Linked DNA regions of Drosophila melanogaster. Changing the gene in region 3 together with the main gene of any one other region gives a genetic interaction. Each region holds a gene or a part of one and is shown on either strand. Other genes may lie near its edges.

The links.
Region 1: of sub (region 3) and Incenp, changing one enhances a phenotype caused by changing the other (phenotypic enhancement), as found in Drosophila melanogaster (one study listed by BioGRID).
Region 2: of sub (region 3) and Ran, changing one suppresses a phenotype caused by changing the other (phenotypic suppression), as found in Drosophila melanogaster (one study listed by BioGRID).

The regions. Positions count from the first base shown.
Region 1 is NT_033778.4:7,277,032-7,282,339, reverse strand, and holds Incenp (inner centromere protein), read right to left. Parts: upstream 3,735-5,308; 5' UTR 3,612-3,734; coding exon 3,543-3,611; intron 3,480-3,542; coding exon 3,299-3,479; intron 3,234-3,298; coding exon 2,174-3,233; intron 2,111-2,173; coding exon 2,014-2,110; intron 1,870-2,013; coding exon 1,203-1,869; intron 1,047-1,202; coding exon 853-1,046; 3' UTR 545-852; downstream 1-544. Other genes in the region: Br140 (Bromodomain-containing protein, 140kD), read left to right, coding at 4,458-5,308.
Region 2 is NC_004354.4:11,144,308-11,150,384, forward strand, and holds Ran (Ran), read right to left. Parts: upstream 4,274-6,077; 5' UTR 4,179-4,273; intron 2,290-4,178; exon of another isoform or gene 2,109-2,289; 5' UTR 2,071-2,108; coding exon 1,636-2,070; intron 1,558-1,635; coding exon 1,342-1,557; 3' UTR 545-1,341; downstream 1-544. Other genes in the region: CG15201 (uncharacterized protein), read left to right, coding at 13-175, 307-388; Lint-1 (l(3)mbt interacting protein 1), read left to right, coding at 5,407-5,544, 5,618-5,653.
Region 3 is NT_033778.4:17,744,963-17,750,063, forward strand, and holds sub (subito), read right to left. Parts: upstream 3,117-5,101; 5' UTR 3,017-3,116; coding exon 2,476-3,016; intron 2,415-2,475; coding exon 1,216-2,414; intron 1,158-1,215; coding exon 1,011-1,157; 3' UTR 900-1,010; downstream 1-899. Other genes in the region: Ir54a (ionotropic receptor 54a), read left to right, coding at 1-899; CG10931 (uncharacterized protein), read left to right, coding at 4,056-5,093. UniProt on the Drosophila melanogaster protein: Required during female meiosis for bipolar spindle formation in the absence of the centrosomes and chromosome homolog segregation. Also has roles in male meiosis and mitotic divisions of the early embryo.

The DNA of each region.
Region 1 (5,308 bases), about 10 Mb from region 3:
ACATGGGAAAATCTAAAAGTTGGTCTTTCAAAAGTTCTAAAGAATTGCAAACTGATGGATCACAAAAGTGGCATTTGATGGAATTTTAGAGCTTATTCATTTAGATGTGTTACTATCTTTCCTTACAGTTTTTGATAGAGTATCCAATGTGCCACATGGAATTCACATAGATTCAGCCCCAATCGACTTGGGTCCGTGGGGAAGTGGAGCTACTAACAGAGTGCACTTAAACGGAAACAGTAACAATTGAAAGTGGCAATTTGGGGAGCGTACGCGCCTTAATTAGATTGCGGATTAAGATGGTCCCATCGAATCATATTCATGGGTGGATCCGCGGCGACTTCCACATGGAGTCGACTCTAATCAGCAGCAATTACTGTGCCAATTGCCCATGCCGATTCCGCTGATTTCGGCTTTCGATTGAAAATGAGAATGGCTCGTTGGAAAAGTGGGATTAGCAGCAATGGAAACATGATGGAGGAGAATCGAATCGAGGCAGTCTTTTCGATCGTCTGCGCATCATGCCACAAAACCATGCCCCATGACCAGTGAAATTGTGTTTGCCGGGCTTGTTTTCTTTTATTTCGTTTACTTGCCTCCTCTGCGTTTTCACACTTTTCACGAATCGACGTATCCATTGTTGGGCAACTTGGCTAATGGAATCGGCAAGCAGCCACCAGCGAACCATTAATTGAGCACGCTGGCGGCTTTAATAGTTCTAAAGCAGCTGGATATTAGTGTCAGAGTCGCAGTGAATCGCGCAGCGGTACTCCGCTTTAATTTTCACAATTAACTTTATTTATTCGATCATAAACATGTGCATTTACGGGAGAAGAGAGCAGGACTACTTGGCTAGTATTTCGGCAGCTCGGAATAGCGCGGCGGCGTGGACCACAGCACGCTGGAGTTTCGCTTCAGCTGGCTGGGATCGATGTTCGGGAATATCTGCTTTAGGTCCGGTGTGGTGGGCGCCACCGAGAAAAAGCTGTCGATGATGTCGGTTGGGCAGTGGCTCTGCATAGCAATTGCCTCTCCCCTTACGTGGCCTGAAAATAAACACATAAGTCAGAATCTATATTTAAGAACATTTCCTTTAGTAGTCCCAATGGAAATCAGACTGTAATCTGGTGTATTTACTTGTATATATTTACGATGAATAAGGTATCTCGAAAATAACTCTTCGAAATGATCCACAAACTTACTTCGACTCCAGGTGGGCGCTGGGGGACGCTTGTGGGTGACCTTTCCCTCGTCGTCTGTCGAGTCGTCTTCGTGCAGCATCTCCCAGGTGTACTTGGTTTTCGGCGGCGGCGGAAGCATCTTCTTGGGCTTGGCGCCGGTTAGCTGCTGCAGTTTCTGCTGCTCCAGCTCCTTGAACTTGGCCTTCTTGAGCGCCTCGGCTTCCTCTTGCTGGCGCATCTTCCGCTGCAGCTCCTCCAGCTCTTGTCGTTTGCGCTCTTCAATTCGCTTTCGCTCCTCCTGCTTCTTGGCGCGCTCGGCGGCCAGCTTGGCCATACGCTCTGCCCGCTCCCGCTCCTTGGCTTCGCGCTGCTGGGCAGCCTGCTGGTGCTTTTGCTCACGCAGCTTCTTGCGCTCCTCCGCCAGATTGTGCAGGCCCTTGCGGAAGTCGTCTCCGCTGTTCTCGCGCGACAGCGTTTTTGTGGACGTGGAATTGACCGACCTTAGGTTCGTACCGGTGGCCGTCTTCAGCAGACTAGTGGCCTTAGACGCGCTGGCAGGTCCCTTCTTGGGCTGCGCCGAGCTTAATGGTAGTGTGCTTGTCGTTTGAGTCGGTGTGAAAAAGCGACCAACAGTCGGAGCAGGCAGCTTGCCAATTTTGGGAGTGTTGTTTGATCCTGGCGTGCCCTGCTGAAGAGTAAAAAAAAATAACAATAAATGAATCACCTATCAAACAGTTCTAGAAAGCGCCAATTGATACAGAACTGGTGAATAGTCTAGCCTAATTCTGCCTGCTATCTGCCTGCTATATATGTGCAACTATACTGTACCTACCAGATCTTTTCCCCGCTTAGGGCGCATGCTGTTCTGTGCGTTTGCCGCATTCTCGAACGCCTCCACGCGCATTTTCACTGGACTCTGAAGCAGTGGGCTGTAGAAGTGCAAAGATTGTTTAGAAGGATAACATGCATGAAGAGGCAGGGTATCTACTCACTTGAAAAGCTCATGTGTACGGGTAGGCAGTTTTATAGCCTTTATGCTCGAGAGCAGCTTGGTCGTCGGCAGCTTCTCCTCCACCGACTCGTCCTCCGTTAAGAGGCTGTCCTGCTTACTCAGAGGTTGTTTCTTGTCGTTGGAGTGCACCTCAAAAGTGGCATCTCCAGCTGGTCCTATTGGACTATCGCTCGTCGGCGCAGGACCCAGTACGAGGGTGGCGTTGGAAATCGCCACGGTCTCATTGACAGCAGCCGGAGCAACTGCAGCCACTGATTGCTCTGCAACGGGCGGATCTTCGAGTGCATCCTTGTATATGGATCGCTCCTGAACCGTTCGCGAATCGCTGCTACACTTGCGCGTGCGCGACGAGACTGGCGAGCTCTTGTCCAGGTCGCTGAATCGTTCCACCTTTATGGGTCGGTGGCTTTCCACGTCCTTCTTCTTCTTGCGGACCTTCTTGGAGACCTCCGTGGATGTCGTCGTGTTGCTGGCCACCGTATCGTCCGGTCGCGCTGCCTCCGTTGTTACAGAGGAGACGGTGGTCACATTTGCCGTGGAGACCGCATTGGTTAACGGGGGCACTGCTTCGGTACTGAGTTTCTCGCGCTTTACCTTCACGCGGAGTGTCTTCGTGGTGTTCACGTCCTCTGTGACTGAGGCCTCCTCCGGAGGCTTTTGCTGCTCAGCTGTTTCTGCTGCTGGCTCTTCTAGTTCCGGCTCCGCTAGTTTATTTTCCTCTAACGCCTGTGCACTGGTGAAGCTGTTAAACTGGGAGACTCGCTGCTCGCTCTCAACCTTGACCTTTACGAGCTCCTCGCTGCTGGGCCGCCGCATCTTACGGTTGAGTGAGGGCTCCTTGAGTAATTTCTCGGTCTTCAGCTTAGCGGCTCGCTGTGGCCTTCCGGAGCCGAGGGTGGTGTCCGCCGAGACGGGCACAGGCGGAGGCGGCATCAGCGAGGCCGTGGAGTTGTGCTCGTCCTCGGCGATAGCCAGCAACTGGGAGTTGCTGACCCGAGTGCTTTGACGGGCCGACGTGTTGTTGGCCGTGGCGTCTGGAGCTGCTCAAATGGAATATCACAGGGGTTGTTGGTCGTTAATGCTTTAAAATGGCCAGGATACTCACCCTCGGGCTCATTCTGATCCTCGGCCAGTGAGGTGAGTCGCTTGGGGCGCTTTTTCGTTTGCTGCGGCGTCACCGAAGAGTTCTCCTGACTCTTCGCTGCCGGAGCACTGTCCCTCGGTTTGGCCTCCGCCTCCGGCTGGCCTGTGCCGTAGAAGAGGTGGTCCAGCTCCTCAAAGTGGGCCTAAAAAACACATATGACGCCATGTTGACAGTGTCGGAATTTCGTCTCCTGATCCTGGCTTACCTTGCGCAGGACCTCGAGCTCCCTGCGCAGGTCCGAAAGCGAGCCCAGCACGCCCAAGATGTCCTCCATATCTAGCGACTGTATCTGACAAACTGCAAATCCGGATTCGGTTCCTTCGATTTTATCGTTTTTTTCAAATGGCGGCAATTGCGACGCGCGTCAGCATTTGATAACATGCCTTTAATTGTGCACTGTTGACAGTTAACAGCTCGTCGGGTGCTGTAAGGCGCATTTATGCCTCTGCTTTCCAACACTGCACGGGCGATAAAGTTCCCGCGCAAAATGAAAAACACAACCAAAACTTGTTTTTTGAGTGAATATTGGGAGATATTTATTTGAATTCTTTAAAATAATATTATTGGGTTATTTAAATAGTTACGTACTGGATTTCTAGCCCTGTAAATTTTGAAAGTATAACATTAGGTGAACCAGTTCCAATACGTTCCCGCCACTACCATCTCTAGAAAGCAGTGCTGCACGGCTCCCCAAAAAACATATTGTAAACAAATTTGAGGGAAAATGGTAAGGGAAAGAACAAAAAGGAACATTTAAATTATAAATATAGATTACGGAAGAGAATTAATTTGCGTAAAGGACCGGAAATATTTCAAACAAGTTTCAGCAAACGTCCAGTGCTGCACAAGCACTTCCGACGATAGTATCGCCATGGCGAGCTGACCAGCAAGCCCATCTCTAGCACATTTGTTAAAAAATTTGCAACAAGCCAACGAAAATCGACCAGGAACGGTGGACAGCCAAAACCGCGCGCTCTGCGACGACCACCGTGGGATGCACATACGTATGCGCAGCCGTGCCGCGGAGTAGACACAGTGCCCGCGATCCGCGACCAGCGAACCGCCAAACCCCGAGAAGCCAGCTGCAGCAGATCCACAGATCGCGCCGCAGATCCAGATCATGGGCCTCGACTTCGACGCAGTGGAATACTGCAAAGGGGTGAAGACCCAGCAGTCCCAGCCGCCTTTCGCCTGTCCCGTCCGCGGCTGCGACCGCAGCTACAAGACCATCATGGGTCTGCAATACCATCTTATGAAGTACGACCACGACAACCCACAGCCGCTCACGCCCGTGCTGACTCCGAGCCGCAAGAAGGCGCGCTCACGCTCCGGCGGCCACCACTCCACGCCTCGTCCGCACAAGGATCACCCCACGCCGGGTGGCGGTGGAGCTGAGGCCAGAAACGGCTGCTCCTCGGCCAGCGCAGGAGGTGGATCGGCGAGCGGAGTCAGCGCCCGGCAGTACGCCAATCCAGAGTCACTGGTGTCCTACAACGAGGAGGAGGCCACGGTGACGTTTAACTTGGACGGGAAGAGCGTGCGCCTGGGCATCGACGACGCCTTGCCGCTCGTAGAGGACGAAGAGTTCGCCGCCCTAGTGGCCAGGGGCTGTATTCTGAATGCCGACGCACCACCGCTGGAGGAGAACGCGCCCTGGGCAAGGGTCCAGGTGCCCGTGGCCAGGGTGGCCGAGATTCCGGACTACCGAGTGTCCGACGCCCCGCCACGGCCGCTGGCCTACTATCGCTTCATCGAAAAGTCCCTGGAGGAGCTGGACGGGGAGGTGGAGTACGACGTTGACGAGGAGGACTCCGCCTGGCTGGAGCACATGAACGAGGAGCGCCAGCGACTCGGCCTGAACGCCGTGGGCATCGACACGATGGAGCTGCTGATGGACCGGCTGGAGAAGGAGTCGCACTTCCAGGCGGCGGCCAACGGCACACCCACAGGCGTCGAGGTGGACGACGACGC
Region 2 (6,077 bases), on a different chromosome or scaffold from region 3:
TCTTGTACGTAGCCAGCGAACCCGTGTGCTCCTACCGCAACTCGGAGGATGAGACCATCTTTCTCAAGTATCTGCCGCTGCTGAGACGCGGACAGGACTACGTGGACTTCGGCAAGGATGGCAAGTGCCTCAAGCGGGCCATCTGCACGGACACCTTCAAGACCATCGTGGAGGAGTAAGTGCATCATGACAGCGATCTTAATTAGCAACTTAGGTTGCATGAAGAAAACAAAATATTTCCTAGCTGAACTTTGCCCCGATCTCCACATGATTCTAACCAAGCCATCTACAATATCTTTTTTTCAGCTGTGGACAGCAGAAGGTCACCTGCGGCAACAAGGATCGCTTCACCGGAGTTTTCCCTGCCTGCTGCCTCAAGTGTCCCTAAATCCGAGGAGTTTCATTAAGAACAGTGTATTCAAATGTAGAAATGTAAACAGTAGACGATTAGCTAACGGAATATATGTGCTACCCATTCAATTACAGGGTATGCGATAACTATAATCTAGCATCATTTCCTTATCATCTTTCAAATGCAAATCCAGCTCCGTTCGTTTAGTTTTTTTTTCTTCGACGTTTATTTTTTATTTCTTTAGTTCTTAGATTAATAACATGTGGATGCGAATTCGGCGGCCTGTCTATAGGTTATTTTCTCATAGTTTCCAGTGTTTTCCTTTCTTTTCTTTTTTCAATAGTATTAATTTTCCTTTGGGGGGACTCAGTTCATTGGCCAGCTATTGCGCTCTCGCTCGCTCCGAGCATGCCGTCTCGCTCGTTTCTAACATTCACACTTTTGTTGAAGTAACTTGGTTTTTTCTTCCTTTTTTTTTTTGGGTGGAAAAGAACATTGGTGTTGCAAGTTTTAAAAAAATACGTTCTGCGACTATTTATTTCTCTTGGTTTTCGATTAAGTTGCTGTTGCCTGCTGCTTTAGCACTTTAATGACAATACTACTTACTTACTCCTTTTTTTCCAAGAGCCAACGTATAAGGAAACAAACAAAAAAAAAATCAATTATAACCGACTTATTAATGAATTGGGGATCTAAAATTTAAATACAATCGACGTATTAAGAAGGGCTTGTTTGTAGATTTTCCCAACGATCGATCGAAGAACATAGGCTGGCAAATCCAATAGTGTACGGATAGTACACTACTGCTAATGCTACTTCCTCTAATCCGTAATCCTTCATTCCCTCTTGCCACGCCTTTTCATACGGTGCCTGTGATTCAGTGTTCTATGTTCGGTGTGGTGTTGTGTGTTGTGGTTTTGTGTTTGAGTGTGTGTGTGTTTGTGTTTTCGCGCAAGTCGGATTTCGCTCTAAGTTAACTACAAATAGGCTTATAGCTCCTCGTCCTCGTCGGGCAGTGCGGTCGCCTGGGCCTCCTGCAAGTCACGCTCGATCTGCGCCTGCCAATCCTTATCCATCTTAACCTCGGGCGGCAGCAGGGCTGGCATGGCGACAAACTCCAGGTTGGGATCACCAACCAGCTTGCGCGCCAGCCAAAGGAATGGTTTCTCGAAGTTGTAGTTCGATTTGGCAGAAATATCGTAATACTGTTTGACAAAAAAGAAGGCACAAGCACAATAACGTTAACAAAATTTCAAATAAAAGTTCAGCTTTTCTTTATTTACCTGCAAGTTCTTCTTTCGGTGGAAGACGATGCTCTTCGCTTTCACCTTGCGATCCTTGATATCGACTTTGTTGCCACAGAGGACGATTGGTATGTTCTCGCAGACGCGGACTAGATCGCGATGCCAGTTGGGCACGTTCTTGTACGTGACACGCGAGGTAACATCGAACATGATGACGGCACACTGGCCCTGAATGTAGTAGCCATCGCGCAGCCCGCCGAACTTCTCCTGGCCAGCGGTATCCCACACATTGAAACGGATGGCGCCACGATTGGTATGGAAGATCAATGGATGCACCTCCACGCCCAGTGTGGCCACGTACTTCTTCTCGAACTCACCGGTCATGTGCCGCTTGACAAAGGTGGTCTTGCCGGTGCCGCCATCGCCGACTAGCACGCACTTGAATGTGGGTATATCCTGACCTTCCTGAGCCATCCTTCTAAGCACTCGGTATCTTCGTTAATGCAAAATTTCTGGAACGGTGAGCTGCAGATGGAACAATTGCGTTTGGCTGGTTAGCAACTTGCAACTACTATGCTACTTTATATATTTAAATATATATATATATAGCGGAGCTTGAGCAGGAACAGGAACAGGAGCGGAATGTGTTGGCTAGGATGTTGTTGGTTCGGCGAGCGCCAGGCGACTGACTGCCCGTCCTGCGAGCCGTCCAAAATGTGACGTGCACAATGGATGCGTCAAAGCCCGCCAAGGACGGCGACCAGCTGTTCGGCGAGGAGCGAGCAGGATAACGACAAAGGACACTGCAGCTGCCGCTCCCGCTGAGCCCGCAAGGATAAGAAGGCCGAGATGCCGAGCCAGAGCGAGATGGCCACAGGGTATGGCTGGCTGTGTGTGCAGGTAAGCAGAAATGCCAGGCGCACCAAACAACAACAACAACAAGAAGGCGGCAGGGAGGCGGAAGGATATACTCTGCATACTCGCACACATACATTCCCACCACGTTTATGCGCAGCCCAAAACAGTTTGCCACACAAAAGGAGACCCGGAAAACCCACGGCGGCTCTGACCCACAATTGACCTGGGTAATACTAATTTAAACCCGAGCATAGGAAACCAAAGTGAATAATAAATGCTGACATTTCTGTTCGCAAATAATTAGCGCGCATAAACGCTTGGCATAAGTTTCGGAATATTAAGCGTAGAATTGGAGACATTCAAAACATTCGAAGAAAAGCGCAGTGTAAACAAAATTTTCATACTAAAGAAACTTGATCGCGTTATTGTGTTTGTACTGTATATAGCATAACATTTGTTTATGATTTACTGCGAACTGTAATCAAAGATATATACAAATTTAAGAAGTTATAGAGAAGAAATATTGGTAAATATAGGTTTTGAATGAAATGGCCATATAGCAAATAGAAGTACTTTTTAAAAGAATTAAAGCAAACTACCAAGTTCATCAATAAAGATGACCATATTTTCAGCATGAATCAAGATCAGTTTCATCAATTTGAAATGAGGTGAATAATTTGAATGGATATATTTCGTAAAACGCTGAAAAAGGCATTTGATGACTCATTCCTTTTGGAGACTGAAATGAGTAACTTTTTAAGGATGGCAAGATTGTGAAATTCCTGCGCATCACACCACTGGTGCTGCCCATAAAAGCAGGAAAATTCCTTATTTTGAGTGCCGCCTGTAACGCCGGCAAATTACAAGCACACACACGCACGCATGCACTCGTATTGGTGAGAACCTGTGGACGCTGCGAAGCGCGCCAAAAAATAAAAATGCCGACATACAAATAGTGCAGCGTTTTCTTAGCTCATTTGCTGGCTGGCGAACAGCGCAGCAGTCGCGATTCACGTGAAAATCGCCAATCGCATTTATATATTCTAAATAACAAATCGAATTCTAACACACATACGCACCCACACATGCACACGCACACGGACGACGAACAGACGCAGACAGACGACGACGCCGACGTCGCCGCCGGCAGAAGAAACATGAAGCAAATTCATTGCCGTTTTTTTTTTTTTGCGATTCATGTTTAACCTCACAAAATGCGAATGGCATGGCAGTCGGCGAGAATGTTCCGATGGCCAAAGGACAAGGACATTTGTCCTGCTTCGGTGTGGCGTACGGAGGAGCTGACAGTCCCAATTGGACGGCGCTTTTCCACTGCAGAGCTTGCCATGAGCCGGAAAAGGAGGGATAACAGCACGAGGCGGCACCACGTCGTTTTTCTTTTTTTTTTGTCAGCGAAATCTCTGGAAGCTCTATACGCCACTTGTTTTGTACAACTCTAGCCGGCAATCGGGCTTGTTAACCGGCTGGACTTGGTGGCCGGAAGCCGGGTGGGCGGTGGCCGGGTGGACAGACAGCAAAAGCCGCTGGGTCGGGAATAAAGCACACAATTCCAGGCGAAGCGACGCCGTCGTCCATATTGCATGCGAATTTGGGGCGTCACTGGCGTCATGCCGCACAGCACTTATTCACATCACGGTGGCGAATTAGCCAGGCTGGCAGCGAATTTGCACACAATTTAAAGCCCATTTTGTAGTTCTACTTACATTTTGCTCGAAATTCCTAGAAAACCACAACTTTCTTTTTTGCCGAAACACAATGCAGTGCTGCCAGATTTGAGTGATAAATGAAGTATAGCTGTTGCCTCGATGTTTTCGTTATCGGCCAGTGTGACCGTGCGAGCATAGAGAGGTTCCAAATTCTGGCGCTTACTTATATACCATCCACACCATTTGCAATTATTTAATATAATATATTAAATATATGGCTTAGTAGATATACAGAACACGTGTAGTAACAAAAAAAAAAACTGTCTATCAAATTGTAATGAAACTTTTTGAATAAATAATAAATAAAATTACGAAACTTTTGAGATGCCGTACGACGGAATACGCTCTGTGAGCTGAGTTAAATAATAAATATAAATAATAGTGCAATGTAATAAAATAAATAATAATAAAATAAAGTCAGCGGAGAACTCTTATCGTTAATAGGGCGGTTCATGATATTTATTGGCTGTAGTACTGGAGAAGGTGGCATTTAAACTCCTTCCACTTGTAGACGATTTTCTGCAAAACTGTAGATAAATTTTTGATGAATTTTTTAAGGATCATTACTTAATTAGGCCTACATAAGCCTATAAGCACGGCATTCCGGAACACGCTCTGTCAACAACACCAAACATAAATGACTTTCATGGGTACTTTTTTGTATAGGCTTGTTCATATTTTGACCCATAAAAAAAAAAAAAATAATAAAAAACTTTCCAATGTTCAAAAATTTCACCGTTCCGCCATCGACTCTAACTCATCGACGCTAATTTGATGGTCTTGCGTGCATTTTGGAACACTAAATAACGAAAAATTAATTTTTAAAAAACTTCCCCATGTTCAAAAATTCCACCGTTCCGTCATCGAAGTTATTGACGCACATCGTCCTTATTTCTCCAAATTCATAATTAAACGCATATTAAGATTAAAAATTCGCTACGAGAACGAGCACATGTATTCATCTATCTGGCAACGCCACCAGTTGATGCAACACATTTTTATCTTAAATTGCGAAGTTCCTCGGCCAGATATCAGTTACGAATGTAGTGATCAATCTATCACATTTTCTAACCACATTCGGTTTCAATTCCCACCCCACTCCCTTTCGAAAATTTGCCCAAAATTCCCACAAGTGCATCAATTGCAACGCATCCGAAATCAGTCGCGTGCGTGATTCGTACGATAACCGTCGTTATATATATAGCGTCAATATAATCGGAACAAGATGAGCAAGTACCATAAGGAGCGCAAGTACGCCAAGTTCAGGTACTACATGGAGAAGTACTACGTGCTGCCGCTGGAGCTGAAGAACGACATCATCTACTGCCAGCGATCGCTGCGCGATTTCCTCAAGGTTCACGCGGTAAGTGCACCATGGCTCCTTGGCGAACACCAGTTAATTTGTTTCCTTTGTCTCTGTTCTCTCACTTACGCAGTTGGTCTCGGAGGTCTTCGATGAGCAGGCGGATGCGGTGGGTTTAATGCCAGAAGACTGCAAGTCTTTGTCCTTTGTTCTCTACGCCACGAGAATTCCCGATTCCCCAGGGTGAAGGTGTTCGCCCGTAGAACACCACCCAACCCCCCTCCCACTACACACAACCAAAAAAAAAACCAAAACAAAGAACTGTATGTAGATGAAGCTATGAAACGTAGTACTTAGTTTAGTTTTTTCATTTCAAAGAAACTGATGTACTCGCGATAATTTTCTAGAGTTGGGTTAGAAACATGAAAGAGGCAACTGCGTTTTAAGCAAAACTAATAATGCACAAAAATTGGGTCAAATGTTTTCATTTCCAAAGGAACCACGTTCGCATCTCTGAATTTTTTCGAAATTACTTTCACTTTTTTTTGAAAAGAAGACATATGAGAATTATGTATATGACGAAATCCATCATC
Region 3 (5,101 bases):
CCAGAAGAATTCCAATTAAGGATATTTACTTTATCCTGAGCAGTGCTTCCAATATGTTCCTGGCTATTGTTATTGTTTCCAGTTATGGATTGGCTTTGAATCTCCTTCGAAACATGACCCATCGCGATGTGCGTCTGGTGGACTTTGTGCTAAATGATAAAGCTTTACGCGGAATCTTGGGCCAATCCTTCAATTTGCCCTTGTCGAGAAGCTTCTCCACCAGGTTGATATTTCTGATGCTTGGAATAGTGGGTCTTAATGTGAGCAGCATTTTTGGAGCGGGACTGGACACATTAATGGCTCATCCACCACGGCAATTTCAAGCACGAAGTTTCGCTGGTCTGCGTCGCACGAAAATACCATTGGTTACGACCGAGGAAGACTTTCCCACATGGATGAAACTGCGTGTGCCCATGCTGGTGGTCAATGTGAGTGAGTACAATCACTTGAGGAATGGAAGGAACACAAGCAATGCCTACTTCGCCTCCCGACTGTATTGGAATTTGTTCAGTGAGCAGCAGAAGCGCTTCACCCGAGAGCTGTTTATCTACTCCACGGATGACTGCCTGTGGTCCCTGGCGCTGCTCTCTTTCCAATGGCCGCAGAATTCCTTGTTCACAGAGCCCGTCAGCCAACTTATTTTGGAGGTAAATGCCAATGGACTCTATGACTTCTGGGTGGGAATGCACTACTACGACATGACAGCAGCTGGATTGTCCGGTCTGGAGGATCCCAGCCTGCAGTTGAAGGAAAGAGAGCACCCTACCTCGCTAAGGATTGTGGATTTTCAGTGGATGTGGCAGGCGTACGGAACATTTATGGTAATTGCGATTCTGGTATTCTTGCTCGAAGTTTCTTGGCACAGAATCACATCATTATTTGTGTCACTAGTTTATTGATCATTCACATGTTTATTGGAAAACGTGGCCAACTCTGCAACATATCAAGTTTCAAATTTAAATTTTAAAATCACTAACACTTAACAAATTAAAAATTGTGAATTAAAGAAACTAATCATCATCGAGGATTTCGATGGGAGACTTAGATTCGTTTGGATCATCAGAAATGTCCGTGTCGCTTGCAGGATTCTTAAGTTCCTCTATCTCATCTTTGAGGTCTTCTATTTGTTCTTCATACCTTCGGCGTTGAGAGGAAAGCTGTTAAATATATAGTTTATATTATATACTATTATATTATATTGTTATATTTACTAACCATAAATTCTGATTCTCTTTGCGCAATTAGTAATTTTTTCTCGCATTCGTCTTCATATTGCTTCTTGTTGTTTTGGATAATCTCCTGGTAGGTGGCAGTCAGTTCCCTTCGCAGTTTCTCCTCAAGCAGCTGCATTTGCAGCACATGATCGTACTTCAGTTGCTCAATCTCTAACTGCAGGCGCACGTTTTCGTCCTCAAGTTCCTTGGTGTAGTCGCCGCCCTCGCACGTCGACATCTTTGAGAATTCCATGAAACCACAGTAGCTGACGCGATGCTGTTTAATTACGGGCTCCTTGAAGATGATGTTCTTGGCGATGGAAGCAAAGTTCAAGACGTTCAGGTTCTCCTCGTAGTATTTATCCAGAGGGGTAACTGTCACGATCATGGCCAATTTCTCCTTGCCCAGCAAAGCAGCCTGCAACAGCATTGTTAGCTTGGAGTCGCGATATGGAATGATGTCGGCGTTTTTCTTTTTCTGAACTGTACTGGCCGCATCTAAACATCGACCCAGCACCATCAGCGACGTATTTATGTTCTTTGCTTCCTTGAGACGAAGGCCGGAGGTACCCGTGTTGTTGACGCGTTCCGAACCCGCCAGGTCGCAGAATTTGTACGAACTCTGTGTGGTGATGCCCGACCGATTGTACTTTAGTATGTCCACGGTAAAGACACAGTGCGACCGACTAGAGTTGGCGTTCACCGAGGTGGAGGCGTACGTGGAGCGCTGCTGGCCCAGCCGGAGCAGACGCAGCGCCTCCTCGCTGCTCGTCACGAAAACACTGGTCAGACCCTTGATGAACACATGGCCTTTGTTGCCCACGATCTTCAGGTTTTTTCGTGGCACCTCCCCCAGTTTGTCCTGTTTCGGCGGAATGGCTAGCAGGTCGTACACAAGTTCATTGTAGATCTCCACGAAGGACACCCAAACCAAGACGGAAACATCGGTGGAAGCCTTCGTTTCGAACATGTGGTCGCCATCAATGACCTGCTTCAGACGCTGATGGTGGGCACTGATATCCGGACATAAGTCTAAAAGTTTTTTCCGAATCTGCAGCTCTTTCAGCGAGGCGTCGTCCTGCAAGAACACGATGCTGCCATTGATTAGCTTCAGCTTGGGCGATCGGAAGACGGTGTCCTGGTAAATGGTGAATATGTTTTCCAGGGCACGCGGAATGATTCCAGCACGCACATCATCGCCTAAAAATGGATTTAAATTAACAATTGCCCAGCAAACTTGTTGCAAGTCCTCTTCGCTTACCCAGTAAGGTATACGTTTTTCCAGACCCCGATGTGCCATATGTCATAATGGTCACACATTCCTCCTCCATAATTTTGGGACCCACACAGGTATCATAGATGTCTCGCTGGCCAACGGTGCTGTCAAAGATGGAAGTGAATCCAAAGTGTTTTTCCATGCGGTTCACATTGTTGCTGGTCGAGTCCACTTTGCAGCTAGTGATCAGCACATTTGCTTCTTCCGAGACTATGTAGGCTTTGGATGCATCCTTAACGGGACGCAAGCGCAGGAAGACCTGTGGCCCCGTTTCCACGTTGCTGCTGTCTGCCGCACTGGTAGCGCATGAGGCCCCTTCGGTTGCCTCGCTCGACTGGTACTTGTACTCCGATTCCGTGTCCGAGTATTCGGAAAAACTTTCTTCCTCCGACTCCTGAATGTTGTCAAACAGACGCATCTTTTTGTTGGGTCGCGGTCGAAAGCGGCGGTCGATGGAGGGATCCCGGGCCATCAGGAAGGAGCGCACCTCCCGCCTTGGCACCTCCGAAACCTCCTTGCTGTCCATTTTGCGCTGTTTATGTGGGTTGAAGGGATACTTTTTAGTTTACTTCACTTCGCGCTATTTTTCAGACGCCAGGGGGCTGCCAACTTTACTTGAATTTCAAATGATAGCTGGCAGCTCCACTGGCTAGTGTGACCGTTGATCATTTGAATTAGCCGTTACAAAATACCATCAATAACATTTAATGTAGAAATTCAATTTTTAATAAAAAAGATAAATTTTGACAAAAAAAAATCGATAGCAACACGTTCCAGTTATTATAAATAATTTCAATTCATTCTAGTACTAGCACACATTTTTAGTATAAAAATTCATTGATTCAAACTTTATAAAATAATAAAGGCATATATGTGCAGTTAAAATCCAAATGTTACTAAAATTTAAGTTAAAAATTCACTTTAAGTCTGTTAAATTACCATGCAAATATTAAGTTCACTGACTTGATTATCGCGCATTCTCCAATTTTGCCCATATGTAAGATTAGCAGCGTCGACAAATAATTAGGTGACAAATTGCCGGCACGGCACAGCACCGGCCATTTGTTTAATGTTTGGTTAACAAGTCTGGACAGCATAACAATAACAGGCTGCGCAAATAGAGCACCCTGTCGCCAAATAAGTACTCCCTTAAAACGCAAATTAATTGGGCTTGTTTACTTTTTCCAGTCTGATTTTTTACGCCCCCTGTCTGGGAATTCAAACAAATATTGACTAAATGAGTTATAAGTAGTTGTAGAAACAATTAACAATTGTATGTACTAGACAAATATTGTAAAAAAGTGTTTAATGAATTATCAGTACGTGTGTACTTTTTCTCGCGATAATTAAAAACAGACTCAACATTTGTAGGTAATTAATTTAAAAAAATAATAAAAACTTAAAACTGGGCGCCAAAAATAATCGGGTAAATGATGAAATGAAAACCCTTTTTACAAAATATCAGCAAGCTTTTGTCAACTCAGGAACTGTCACCATCATCGCCAAGTTTTCGAACTTTTCGCAGGATTCGTAAGAAATTAAAATTGGGCGAAAAAAATAAAATTATGGAATTGATTGAAACAGCTTCGACTCCTGGAGATTCCGAAACTGAAATCGCCATCCCGGAGGCCGCTTTCGATTCCTTTAAGATGCCTATGCTACCAAGTCAGTTCCATTTGGAGAACTCCATGTCTCCGGGCTACGCCATTAAGCACTCGCTCCTCGGTCACAGTGGTTGCGTTACTGGTCTAAAGTTTAGTTCGAATGGCGAGAACTTGGTCAGCAGCTCCGGCGATAGGCTGCTTAAGCTCTGGGACTTGAGCGCAACCCGATGCATTCAATCGCTGGCCGGGCACGGAGACGGAGTCAACGATGTCGCCTGGTCGGCGGCTGGATTAATTGCCAGTTGTAGCGATGACATGACCGTGCGTCTCTGGGATGCCCGCAGCAAGCTCTGCGTCAAAGTTTTGGAGGGGCATTCCAGGTACAGTTTCTCCTGCTGCTTTAATCCGCAGGCCAATCTGCTGGCCTCCACTAGCTTTGACGAAACAGTGCGCCTTTGGGATGTCCGCACTGGCAAAACGCTCAAAATCGTCCACGCCCACCAGGATCCCATAACATCGGTGGACTTCCACCGCGATGGCAATATTTTTGTCACCAGCAGCTATGATGGGCTGGTCCGCTTGTGGGACTCTAGCACCGGGCATGTGCTGAAGACTCTCGTTGACGTTGACAACATCCCGGTCGGATATGTGAAGTTCTCACCGAACGGACGCTACATCCTGTCGTCCACATTGAACAACACCCTTAGGCTATGGAACTACAAGAAGCCCAAGTGCATGAGGACCTATCGCGGGCATTTGAATGAGTTCTATTGCTCCAACTCCAATTTTTCCACCACCGGCGGCATTTGGATTGTCTCCGGCAGCGAGGATAATACGCTTTGCATCTGGAATCTGCAGACGAGGGAGCTGGTGCAAAAGATAAGCACGGAGGGCGACCAGATTTTGAGCACACATTGCCATCCCACGGCAAATGTGATTGCTAGCGGCGCCCTACAAAATTCATATGCCATTAAAATCTGGAAGAGCAGCGAGAAGTAGTTCCAACA